3 linked regions of the Macaca mulatta genome follow. Each later gene encodes a partner of the first gene's protein in a complex. Links are inferred from orthologs where the notes say so. Each region holds a gene or a part of one and is shown in the gene's direction. Other genes may lie near its edges.

The links. The genes of interacting proteins can lie anywhere in the genome.
Region 2: the proteins of NRP1 (region 1) and PLXNA2 are in contact, whole or in part, in a crystal structure (PDB 4GZA), measured with the Mus musculus proteins. The link is inferred for Macaca mulatta from reciprocal best matches to the Homo sapiens genes NRP1 and PLXNA2. Residues at the interface, in NP_032763.2 of Mus musculus: Glu78, Arg80, Asp81, Lys83, Tyr84, Asp126, Tyr127, Glu128, Thr129; in NP_032908.2 of Mus musculus: Asp273, Leu274, Phe275, Glu306, Lys341, Gly342, Gln343, Lys344, Gln345, His348, Pro350.
Region 3: the proteins of NRP1 (region 1) and PLXNA4 are in contact, whole or in part, in a cryo-EM structure (PDB 7M0R), measured with the Mus musculus proteins. The link is inferred for Macaca mulatta from reciprocal best matches to the Homo sapiens genes NRP1 and PLXNA4. Residues at the interface, in NP_032763.2 of Mus musculus: Arg80, Tyr84, Asp126, Tyr127, Glu128; in NP_786926.2 of Mus musculus: Glu272, Lys340, Lys343, Lys345, Leu349.

What each region holds. Positions count from the first base shown.
Region 1 is NC_133414.1:34,571,052-34,574,551, reverse strand, and holds part of NRP1 (neuropilin-1), read left to right. Parts: intron 1-1,921; coding exon 1,922-2,193; intron 2,194-2,686; coding exon 2,687-2,783; intron 2,784-3,500. UniProt on the Homo sapiens protein: Cell-surface receptor involved in the development of the cardiovascular system, in angiogenesis, in the formation of certain neuronal circuits and in organogenesis outside the nervous system. Mediates the chemorepulsant activity of semaphorins.
Region 2 is NC_133406.1:65,981,083-65,985,303, reverse strand, and holds the start of PLXNA2 (plexin-A2), read left to right. Parts: upstream 1-1,421; 5' UTR 1,422-2,075; intron 2,076-4,221. UniProt on the Homo sapiens protein: Coreceptor for SEMA3A and SEMA6A. Necessary for signaling by SEMA6A and class 3 semaphorins and subsequent remodeling of the cytoskeleton. Plays a role in axon guidance, invasive growth and cell migration.
Region 3 is NC_133408.1:172,283,205-172,287,226, reverse strand, and holds the start of PLXNA4 (plexin-A4), read left to right. Parts: upstream 1-1,222; 5' UTR 1,223-1,271; intron 1,272-4,022. UniProt on the Homo sapiens protein: Coreceptor for SEMA3A. Necessary for signaling by class 3 semaphorins and subsequent remodeling of the cytoskeleton. Plays a role in axon guidance in the developing nervous system. Class 3 semaphorins bind to a complex composed of a neuropilin and a plexin.

The sequences.
Region 1 (3,500 bases):
TTGTGGGTAGGAAGTGATCATGGTGCAGTTGAGTGAGGATGTCCAATGGGAGAGCATCCCTCTACCTACGTCCACTTCTCTCCTTCTTTCTAACACCCATTCTCTGACTGGCCTCAATAAACTTCGAGCAGTGAGCTCAATAAGTGGGATTAAGACATGGCAGCAGCATTGCCAATTTCAGTCTTTTTTCCATAAGACTGGGGGGACGGAGGCACAATGGGTGTATTTTTTTCCCATCTTGGTGGATTGATGGATCTTGATGGATCTTGATGGATCACCATCAAGGTGATCACATCTTGATAAATTAGTGGGCAAACAAATCCTAAGTGTGAATGGATCAGCTCAGTCACAGAGGACACCCTGCAAGGTCGGAGAGCGAGAGGGACATTCGTCCTGCAGTATCAAACCTACTAGAGGGGCTAGAGTTGCCACTTGTGAACACCCTTCCCTTATGATTCCACCCACTGGTTTGAAGAAGGGTGGGCTCTCACATAAGCAGCCAGGTAAGGAAAGGAAACTGCCCGTGAACACATCCACATCCACCTGGACACTGTTGACACAGGCGAGCAGAGAGGAGTATGTGCCCACGTGTGCACAGTGAGAAAGCACCTTGCAAACACACAAGCCTCTTGGGCAACAAACACAACCTCCTGCTGCCCATTGAGGCCCGAGCAGCAGATTCACACTTAATCAGGTGAGGCGTTAGAGAAGATGATTTCTATTTGCAAAGCCAACAGTGAAACATGGGTTGTGTGTTTAGACCAGGTGGTGGCAGGAGGAAATGTTCCCAGTGGGGGTCATTAAAAGTGAAGCCAAGAGAAAGTCCTCGCAGTTCAGCAAGTGTCTATGTTGCCAAAATGGCACGTTCTAATGAACCTCAACAAGGCAACCTTCCTCTCCTTGGGCCAGAAGCCCACCTCAAATAGGAGCAGGGCTCACAGGAGAGATGCAAGCTCTCAGGTGTGTTTAAGGAATTCAAAAACCGTGAAAACAAACTATGGGAAAAATAATCTGAACTTGAAAAAGTTTTTTTTAAAAGACTACTACATTATTAGGAAGAACTACAGGTTTATGATTATCAAGGAGTCATATTGACAGAAGTTTCTTTAATCAGAATTCCTGCTGCTCAAATGATAAATAAAAATACATCTCAATGATTTCATTTAATGCATGTGTTCACATGGATGCTGCTGTGCGATCTTAAAGTTGCATGAAAACAGGGTTTCTTAGGCCCAGCGTGGTGAATCATGCCTGTAATCCCAGCATTTTGGGAGGCCAGTGTGGGAGGATTGCTTGAGACCAGGAGTTTGAGACTAGCCTGGGCAACACAGGCAACAAAGACTCTATCTCTTCTTAAAGAAAAAATTAATCTTTTTAAGAACTAGCTGAGCATGGTGACACGGGCCCATAGTCATAGCTACTCAGAATGTTGAGGCAGGATGATCACTTGAACCAAGGAGTTTGAGGCTGCAATGAGCTATGATCGCACCACTGCATCCCAACCTGGGCAACAGGAGTGTCTAAACATAACAAATAAATAAATAAATAAGGTTTCTTCTTAGAGAGCCAGGCGTTTTCAGTCCAGGCTATGCACAGACTTTGCTTTCAGTTTGCTTGTGATGGTACAAATGCCAGCTTGAGCCATAGCCTGTGTCCATATGAAAATGTATTCCATTATAAGTAGTATCCTAATTAGTGCCACTCAGCCTTCCCCTAATCAAATGTCCATTTTGCAGGAGCTGAGAGCAGGGCCTCAGGTGCCCATGAGGTCCCCAAGTATGCACACTTCTCCCTTTCCACTACATATTTTAGTTCTTGGCACTCAGCGCAGGAAGCTTTTGATTAGTGAGACTTGAAATAAGAGAGATAAAAGTGTGGTAATCCTGGCCACTCTCCCTAACACAGTTCTTTGTCATAGCAGGAGATGGCAACTTCATCTATTCCCAAGCTGATGAAAATCAGAAGGGCAAAGTGGCTCGCCTGGTGAGCCCTGTGGTTTATTCCCAGAACTCTGCCCACTGCATGACCTTCTGGTATCACATGTCTGGGTCCCACGTCGGCACACTCAGGGTCAAACTGCGCTACCAGAAGCCAGAGGAGTACGATCAGCTGGTCTGGATGGCCATTGGACACCAAGGTGACCACTGGAAGGAAGGGCGTGTCTTGCTTCACAAGTCTCTGAAACTTTATCAGGTATGACCTCTTCCCAAGGCTGGAAAGGGCAGTGGCTGCAGGAATACTGAGACGATATGTTGGAGGTTGTGCAAATGAGATGCGGGAATTATTCTGAAATTATTTCCAGTGTTTCCCAACCCTGAGATATTGCTGCAATGATAACCACCTTCATAGCAGATTTCACAGTCTCCTATATTGTAGGAACAGAACCAATTTGCTGAGAAAGAACACAAAGGACTTCCATGTCATCTATTTCTGGGCTTTCACAATGTATTATTCCTTTTGTTTGCTGCTTTCTCCCATTTTAAAGTTTGTATTATAAAAAGAGAGTGTGAGGAGAAGGTGCATGCCATCACCAGGCAGCTAATGTGGATTGATGAGTGAAGTGTGTGCTTACACTGAATCTGATGAATTTAATTTATGTGTCATAGCGGGAGCTGAACAAGCATTTGTAAACTCTGCCACGTGAGATGAGCATTTCAATACTGTGAAAATGATCTTATTTTGTTAGGTGATTTTCGAGGGCGAAATCGGAAAAGGAAACCTTGGTGGGATTGCTGTGGATGACATTAGTATCAATAACCACATTTCACAAGAAGATTGTGCAAGTAAGTATGAGCTGCTGTAGAAACCAATGGAGTACTTGCCCAGGGCAAGACTCTTGCCAAAGTGGTGGTCTTTGTTTTGCCCATTTCTACTTGGAATTTCCGTGTGGCCTCTCGACACATCATAGGAAATGCATATTCTGGTGCAACAGGGCATAAAATCAGCCCAATTTACCTGTGGCTGTCCCATTACCTACCCTAGGTCCTTCATAATGTCTGCTTGATACCTACAAAACTCCACAAATAATGCAGAATCCAAAGAGTATAGCTAAGAAGACCCAGCTTACAAGCTGTATATGCCATACGGAAACATTTTGATGAGCAGCGGAAAGTCAGACATTGGATAATTCCAAATATCTGAGTGTATAAACAAAACAGCAAGCCTCTGAAAACTTTGATCAGGACGAGTTTAATTAAGAATACATTGTTAATGAACCATAGAAGCCATAATTCTTTGCTTTATTACAAATAAGTAGATGTTTCTGACTTTTAAAATAGCTGAAATGGCTTAAAAGACTTAAATGAAATTCAGAAACTTGGCCTAGTATTTCAGAGTTGGTCTTTATGGTTCTTGTACTAGGTGGATGTAAGACATAGAAAACCAATTCATATTCCCTAGTTCTTGATATATAATTACAAATAGCATTACTAATGGCAGTGTAATAGCATGGTAATTAGTCTTAAGCTCCATTTGCTACATTGAAACTTTTGTTATACATC
Region 2 (4,221 bases), on another chromosome or scaffold:
CAAATTTCAGCTAATTACAATGAAGGACTTTTGAAGAATTAGCTGATTTCTGCAGATACTGGAGGAAAGCCTGGATCCCCCAGTCCTGTATTGAATGAACGATTGTTCGAGATGACTGGTTAGTCTAGATTTCCTTTCCTTCTTCCTCTCTTTCTCTCTCTCTCTTTTTTCTGGCTCCCTTTCTTCATCCCTCCCTCCCTGCCTTTCTTCTGCCCCTACTGCTCTAAGAATTTCGTGCAATTGCTTTTAGGTTTTCTGTAGTGATTTATATTGTTTTTTCGATTTATACCACTGAGGACTGTGGCCACGAGAGGGCAGTAGAGGAAGCTTAACAGAGTACTTGGACAGGAGTAAACTCGTGTGAGCTCTAATCGCCAGCAGGGACTACGCAGACCCTGCGAACTCGCTGGGGTCCAGCTTGCAGGCCCCTTCCGAAAAGCAGTGTTTAGAAGCTGCAGAGTTACTGAGACTGTGTAGCAAGGCATCAGTGGCCTTGAGGGCACCGAGGCATTGTCGTCCAGAATCCTGAAACCTCTCACCTTAGGTTATTAAAATAAGTTATCTTATCGCCACCCCTCTGATTCCCCTGGCAAAAAGATTCTCTGAATTGGATATAGAAAGCTCTTCTCCGGTCCCCAATGCCCTCATCCAAGTCGGGACTTCTCAGATGCCCAGGATCCCTATCAGGGCTGGAAGCCTGAGATTCAATTCAGAGCAAGGTTCATCTTCTCGTTGCAATAATAATAACAACTTCAAGCCTTATTTGACAGCTTGCTGGCTTTTTTTTTTTTTTTTTTTTTAATTTACAAGAAGAGGAAATTTGCTCCCACAAATTCCAAGACTCTAGTCTCAACCCCATCAGACAAGCCCCGTTCCTCCCCGCTCACCCCTCACTCAAAGATCAAGAGGGAGGTGTGCAGGATGTGCGCGGTGACAGGTGATGCGAATGGCGGGGGAGTCCCTGTCCCTACTGCCCTCACCCACTCTTCCTGTGTCCTGAGCTCCCCGCTAACCCCAACGCTCGACCTTCTATCTCCACCGGGGGCTAAACCAGCTGGGTTCGCAAGGCCCTACTCGAATTCCCGGGCCCTGGTAGCATTTTCCTTGCCCCCTTGGCTACTTAAGGTGGCCAATGGGTCCGGGCTGAGCTGGGCGCAGGACAGGCAGCGGAGCGGCCTCCGGATGCCAAACCTGCTTCTCCTTTGTTGACAGCTTGCGGAGGAGGAAGTCCGCGCGGGCGGGGGAGGGGGCACGGGGCTGGCTGTGGCGGGCGGTGCCAGCAGCGGGCGCGGCCCCAGCTCGGGCGGCCGCGGCCGGCGGGGAGGGGGTTAACGCGCGCGGCCTCTATGATAATGAGCTGCATGGTAAAATAGGGAGGCCGGCGCTCAGGGCTCCGCCGCCGCCGCCGCCGCCGCCACCGCGGGAGCCAGAGCTGCCGGGCTGAGAGGCATCCGCGCCAGACTGGAGCGGGAGGGCAGCGGAGCGCAGTTGCTGAGAATTTTTCAGCCGAGAGGGCGAGCGATCCGGAGAGAGACCCCGCGAGCTTGGGAACGGTAGGCAGCGCGAGGGCCGCAGCCGGCGGAGCAAACCTCGAAATAGATCTGGAAAGCCAGGCTCCCGGAGGAAATGGGACTGTGAACGAACCGGAGAGCAAGAAGGGAAGGAAGCGCCGGGATTGCTGATGTCAGAGGAGCCCGGAAAGTCGCGCTGGAAAAATCTGAAGACAGCCGGGGCTCTGCTTCTTCCCCACGAGAGACACCGCCGGCCACCCCCACACGCCCCCTCGGCGCCTCCAGGTGCCCCCAGCGAGCCGGCGACAGCGCCCAGCCGGGCTGCTGCGGGGCGACGGAGGACTGAGGGGCGCGCGGAGCGGAGACCGCGGGGCGACTTCAGGAATACAGATAAGTGGCTGGTGGCTTGACGTGGATTTTAATGAATTTGGACTCCATGTGGATTTGGTCTTCTCCCTGATTCGGAGCTGCGGGCAGGGAGAGGGGCCTCGCGCCGCCCTCAGCAGCCGGCGGCCGAGGCAGACCGAGCAGGGACGGAAGGACAGACCGACGTCGCCGAGCTGGGTAAGCGGCGGCTGGGCCGGACGCTCGGAGTCGGCAGCGCCTTCAGCCTTCTCCCCACAGGCGCGCACACCCGTGGCGGCTTCTCCCGCACCCGCCTCTTTGGGGCCCCGGCCCCAGGCAACCGGGCTTGGCCGCGGCGGGCGAGTCCCCGTGTGGGCTCGGCCACTTTCGCGGGCCGGAGCGCGGCGTGCGCGCGATCTCAGGCTCACTGGAGCCGGTGCCTCCCGCCCAGGGCTTCCCGGCCGGCAGCCAGCAGGCTTCCCGGCCGCGGGCTGAAGGCGGCAGCAGCGCTCCGCGGCGCGCCTCCACCGCGCACCTGCCGGCGCTCTGCGGCTTTGGGGAGCTCGGGGCGGCAAGGCTGTCCCGAGAGCTGGAGCCCAAAGAGGGCCTCGGTGGCACCAGCGAGACAACCCAAAGCCACAGTGGCCAGCGATCGATTTGGGGGCGTTCACTCCAGTGCCAGAGTCCCTGGTGGCCGCCGGCTGTCCCTTCAGATCCGGGACTGGAGATCAGGGGAAGGGGAAAACATCATTTGCGCGGGTTCCATAAGGCTCAGGGAGAGATTCCCAGGCACTGAATGGGTCTGAGTGTTTCATCTCCCAGGACTCCCTTTGCAGTGTATCGCCCAGCAGGGGTCCAGCCCCATAGTTTGAGGACCACGCGAGTGCTGGGGGTTGAAATGGGAGTTTGCTTAGGGTCCCAGAGGCTCCTTATGAACCATTTGAGAATATTTCCTTCCATGTGCTCTTTCTTGCCCCACCCCACAAGTTAGGTAGGGATCCTGGAAAATTCTAGCCCTTTTTATCCATCCCACAGGTAGTCTCTATAATACCAATCATGGTCTAGATGCCCAGAGAGTCACCAGAAACTACCATTCTAGGTCCCCGAAAAAGTGTCCACCTGTTTGGAATGACCCTTGCCCTAGTGGGACCTACCTAATCAAACTCAGCTCTGCTCAGGAGGGATAGAAATAATGGGGGAGAGGAAGTTGGATAAGAGATTTGAGGTTCTAGGTCAGCAAGGGTCTAGAAATGAGAGCCCCAGGAGGTGGGCAATGGAAATATGAACAGGATTCCTGTAGGAATCTAAGATGTTAGAGTGACAGTGGCACATCATAGAAGGTACACAAGGGACATGAAGGCAGGATCAGTTTGAGGGGATTGGGACTGCCAATCACAGCTTGAGGCAGTCACTTGGGGGCCCATTGGCTTGGAGGAACCCACAGAAATTTGGGGTCACATTCATTTCCTTCCATTCACGTGCCCAGTGGACAAGGCTTATGAGCGGCAGGCCAAGATGAATATCTTGGCTGGCCTGGGCTGGACACTTTGAGAGCACGAGTCAGGTTTAGCTCTCCCCTCTCCCCACACAATAGCAGTCTCCCTCCTTTGCTGGGCTTCTTTCCTAGACATTGAAACCTCACTGTTCCCTCTGGGTTGACTTTGGATTCTGGGGCCTTCTACTGAGTGACAGAGCCCCAGGAAGAGATAACCTTGGCTGGAGGAATTCAGCTATTCCTAACTGAAATGCACAACTTTTATGCAATGACCCCAGAAAGCTCCCAGAGTTTCTTGCAGCCCTCTCCCCTCTGACCTCCAGGCAAGAAAAGAGAAGAATTCATTAATTTCCCTCTCTCTTCACAGAGAACCATTTGAACTAATTACCTGGGATCTCTCCTCGGTGGTGTCCTGGGGGCTGAAGGGGCAGTGAGGAGAAAGGGTAGGGAACCAAGGAAACAGAGTGGAATCTGTGGAAATACCCTAGCGAGGTTGTTTTTCATTCCCCTTCTTCCACCCAGCATCACCACCAACCCCTCCTCATCCCGGAACTTGCCCCTGCTGCCACCAGCCAGCATTACCTAAAGGAGTTATTTCCCTCCACTCTGCAGCTGATCCTCTTCAGGGACCCGCTGATAAAGGGAGGGCAATGCAGACTGCCCTCTCTGCTCCCTCACTGTCCTCAGCAAATTGCATTAGGATGGGGGCAAATTGGCTTGCAAAGCAGTTAAATGGAAATGACATTTGGAGTGATGTGCAGGGAAGATGCTGAAGAGCAGCAGTGGTAAAGTACCAGGAGATCTCCTCTACCCAGGGACCATGAGTCTGCCAAGGAAATCCCAGCTGGTCCTTCTTTTTGACAGGGCATA
Region 3 (4,022 bases), on another chromosome or scaffold:
TGTATGCCCCCCTCTCCGCCCCACATCGCCACTGCCAGGGTGGCTCCGTGCGGGCCGAGGGGACCCAGGGGGGTGTCGGCAAACATTGGTAGGGCGAGAGCCGGCGAGCCAGGCGGCGGCGGGTGGGAGAGTGTAGGGAGGCGCCCCCTGCCCCCTCTGCCAGCAGCTCTCCCTCGGTCTAGATGTCAGCCGCGAGCTCCGAGCCAGCGAGAGCGAGCCAGAGAGGGAGCGGCGGCGGGCGGCGGGCGGCGGGCGGCGGGGAGGAGAGGAGGCGAGGCGAGGGAGGGAGGAAGGGAAGCAGGGAGGGCGGGAGGGAGGAGAGGAGGACCCAGAGAGCGCCAGGCAGCTGGAGTTTTTGCAGCGCTTGGCCGGGCTTCAATGCACAGCAGCAGCGAGCCGCGGCGGCAGCAGGCAGCCCGGGAGCTCCGGCGGCGGCCGAGCCAGCGGCGGCCCCGCTCCCTGCCCCCTGCAAACTTTGCTAGCAGCCCGCCCGGGGGGCCGGGGGCGCGCCCGGGAGGCCCGGCTCGGCCCGCGGCCGAGCTCTCCTCTGCCGCAGCGCCAGCCGCCGCCACCACCACCGCCGCAGCCCCGCGCCTCCCCGGGGAGCAGCCGGCGGCTCCCGAGGCCCCCCAGCCCCGGCCCCAGGGCACTGCCCGGCGAATTCCCCGGCAAGGGTGGGGGCTGCAGCGGCGCGGCCGGCCGCGGGCTGCCGGGGGGCGGCCGCCGCTACCCAGAGAGGCGCGCAGAGGCGCCGAGAGCGCTCCCCGGCGGGTCCCCCGCGCACTCGCCGCGCCCGGGCAGCGGCCCGACCGGGCGAGCATGGGCGGCGCGGAGTGACGCCGCTGTGCCCGCTTGGCATCAAGGACATTCAGCCCGCGGGGGTGGGGACGAAGGGGGGCAGCCCCGCGTCGCCACCGCAGCCCCCGAGAGCCGCCGCCGCTGCTTAGACTCGGGGGTTGGGTGGAGAAAAGGGGTGTTCGGAATCGATCCCCATTTTCCGACCTTCTTGTTGGACATTACGCCCACCTTGGACGCCGCAAGAGGAGCTGTCAAGCCCCGCAGGCTCTGATTCGGCGCCCTCCGCGTTCCTCGGTTGCTCCCGGCTTCCCTGTGCCTCGGTGGAGTATTTGCGTTCGGGGCTGGGGCTGGAGGAGGCAGCCACACGCGCGCACACGCACACGTTCAGAGGAGGGCGAGAGGCAGCGGCATAGGCTCCATCTGCAGTGTCAATGCGGCGCTCCCGCTGAAGGAGGGAAACGCGGCGCGTCCAGGTAAGGAGCCGGCCAGCCGGGGAGCGGGGCCGGGCGGGCGGTGAGGGCAGCGCGGTCGGAGAGACCCGGGCCGGGTCGGCCCGGGAATCCTCGGTGCCCTGGAGCCAGCCCGCGGCACACGCACACACACACACGCAGGCACACACACAGATCCACACCGGCACACACGGCGCTCGCGCACCTGCCCACGTCCCACCTGGACGCCCGCGGAGGTGCAGCGGCCGGAGCAGGGATTTCCCGGGTGCGTTCTCCTCTCACTCTCCCGGACTCAGACTTCTCTTTCCCGGACTTTCGGGGTGGGATTCTGTGTATTCCCGGCTCTGCCTCCCACCCGAAAAGGTTGAGGGAGCGATTTTTTAGCTCTCAGCCCCTTTCATCCCTAGCTGGGCTTTAAAACGGGAGAAGTCCTGGGAGGTCTCCGGAGACCCACCCAGTGTCATCGCGGCCCCGTGGCCTTTGGACACCCTGGGATTTCAACGGGAGACAGAACCACAGATATTCGGCCGCCTATTTGGAGAGAGTGATGGCCCAACGCGTGGAGAGGAGGCCACATAGGCGGTTGGGGCTGCAGTTCTGTAGGGCGGTGCATATGGAACAGACACTGCGTTTCCCCAGTAAGAGGCAGCACAAACGCCTTTCTGAAGCGTGGCACTGCTTCCCCGGGAATGCGCCGAGATTTCAGACAGAAAGCGGCTTAAAGCATCGCCGCGTATGTTGCTTGTCTAGGGAAGGTACGGGGGTCATATCCTCCTTAAAAGGTATGACCTTATTCACAGCCTCAGTCCCTGCTTAGCAGCAAGGAGACAGGGCTTGGAGACACAGGACTTGGGTCCCCTCTCACCTCCCTACCCTTCCTTGGCACATGGGGCTGCCTTCCCCGGTGCCTCCGGCTGGCGAACACCTGTCACATGCCTTTCGAGGTGTGTGTCTGAGAAAGATAACTAGAAGGGGGAAGCACGAGGGGTGTAGTTCTCCAAAAGAGGAGGCTTCCCTCCCTCACGACCGCGGCGGGCGGCGGTGCCCACTGGAGGAGGCAAAGCATTCATGGGTCTGCCAGCGTCCCCCAGAGCCCAGGGCTGCTCCGAGTGTAGAACCACTCCACAGAAGCCCGTTCTTTAAGGTCCTATTTCCCGAAAGCATTTTCGTTCTTGTTCTCTCTGGCTGGAGTTTCACAGGCTGCTCATTTTAACTTTTTCTGGAGGAGGTAGGAAGTGTCTGGGGTTCTAAGAGGCTTTTCCATAGTTCCCTTCTTAGGGTCTAAGAGCAACTCATTTAGGGTCTCAGTTGTCATAGGGAGAAGAACATGAGCTCCAAAACAAATTTGGAATTGAATATACATGTACAAGCTCCTGCGTTTCTGGAGCTGTCCCTTTGAGGTACCTTTCTGGGCAACCTGATCATATCATTCTCCCCCAGAACCGAGTAAGCTTGTACCCTCTGTCCAAGATCATGTGTTCAGAGTATCCCACAAACCCACCAGTGGGAAAAATACGTTACGAGTCTTCCAGAACATGATGGGAGAGGAGCAAACATTCTTTTGAACAAGGAGGCCTCAGTGCTAGGCTCAGAATTTGGGTTGTTTTTGTAAATCCTGAAGATGGGGGTTGAATGAAACGGCTTTTTCAGCACCCTGACTCCGCTATTTCCAAACTTTTTTCAGCTCCTGCAAAGGTCTCTGGCTAGGCTGGGGAGAAGCGCAGACGCCCCGGGAGGGAGATTGTATTCCCGCTGTATGCTGTGTGAGCTGCCCTTTGATTGACTGAAAAGCGTAGATGGAATAAAGCAAATCTCTCACAATGGGGAGACCCCAGTAGGGGGAAGAAACCTTATTTGCTTTTTAAGCATGGTGGGCGTGTGCACACACATACACACCCAAGATATATACCCACATGCGTTCTCAGAGTCTGGCTAAATGTGGTCAGCTCCCCTAGCCATGTGTGACAATGGGGTCCACCTCTGTCTTCCGGGCTGTGGAAGAAATGGAACATTTCTCCCCACATGCCCCTCGAGGGCGTGGACAGGTAGGTCCCACCTACTTGTACAGCAGCACATGGTTTGCAATAGAAATAATGAGCTCCAGCAACAGTGGGTGCCTCCCAGGTAAACAGTCCCTCACGAGACCTGGAAGAGGCAAAGGGATAGGGTACAGGATCTTCCTGAAATGTCTGCATCTTCCCTGCAGACCTCCACTCCTTTCTCTGCTTTCCTCTCTACCCTCTTTCCTTTCTCATGTATTTGCAGCCTCAGGATCCATCATTTTAATGCAAAGCCAGCAGTCATTATGCTGGTTATAAGCTAAACATCTGGGTTCAAACAATCTCCGCACTTTCCGCACTTAGCATTAGGTACCAATTTGGTTTCTAGGACAAGGCAAGCATTAATTAACATCTCTGTAAAGCGGAGTATATATCACGTTTTCCTGGCTCTCTTGCCCAGCCCTGGAGCATGCCATGCTGTCATTCACCCTCTCTGCCACTCTTCTGTGCCCTTCCTTTTAAGTTCTCTGAGGTCTTTCTCACTGGGAAGGGATTCACACTAGAAAAACTCCAGCCATGAATGCTTCTTTTCAGCAGACCCTCACTGCCTGGTAGATGGTGCTTAAGGCAGCTCTCCTGTGAGCACTAGGCGTAGGTCACCTGCAAGCTGCTCCTTCTTGCCCAATCACACCCTCCCGGGGCTCTCCTCTGTCCTCCCAGGACTTCACCCTGGATGCCCACCGGGACACTGCAGACATTTCTGGAGGACTCCAAG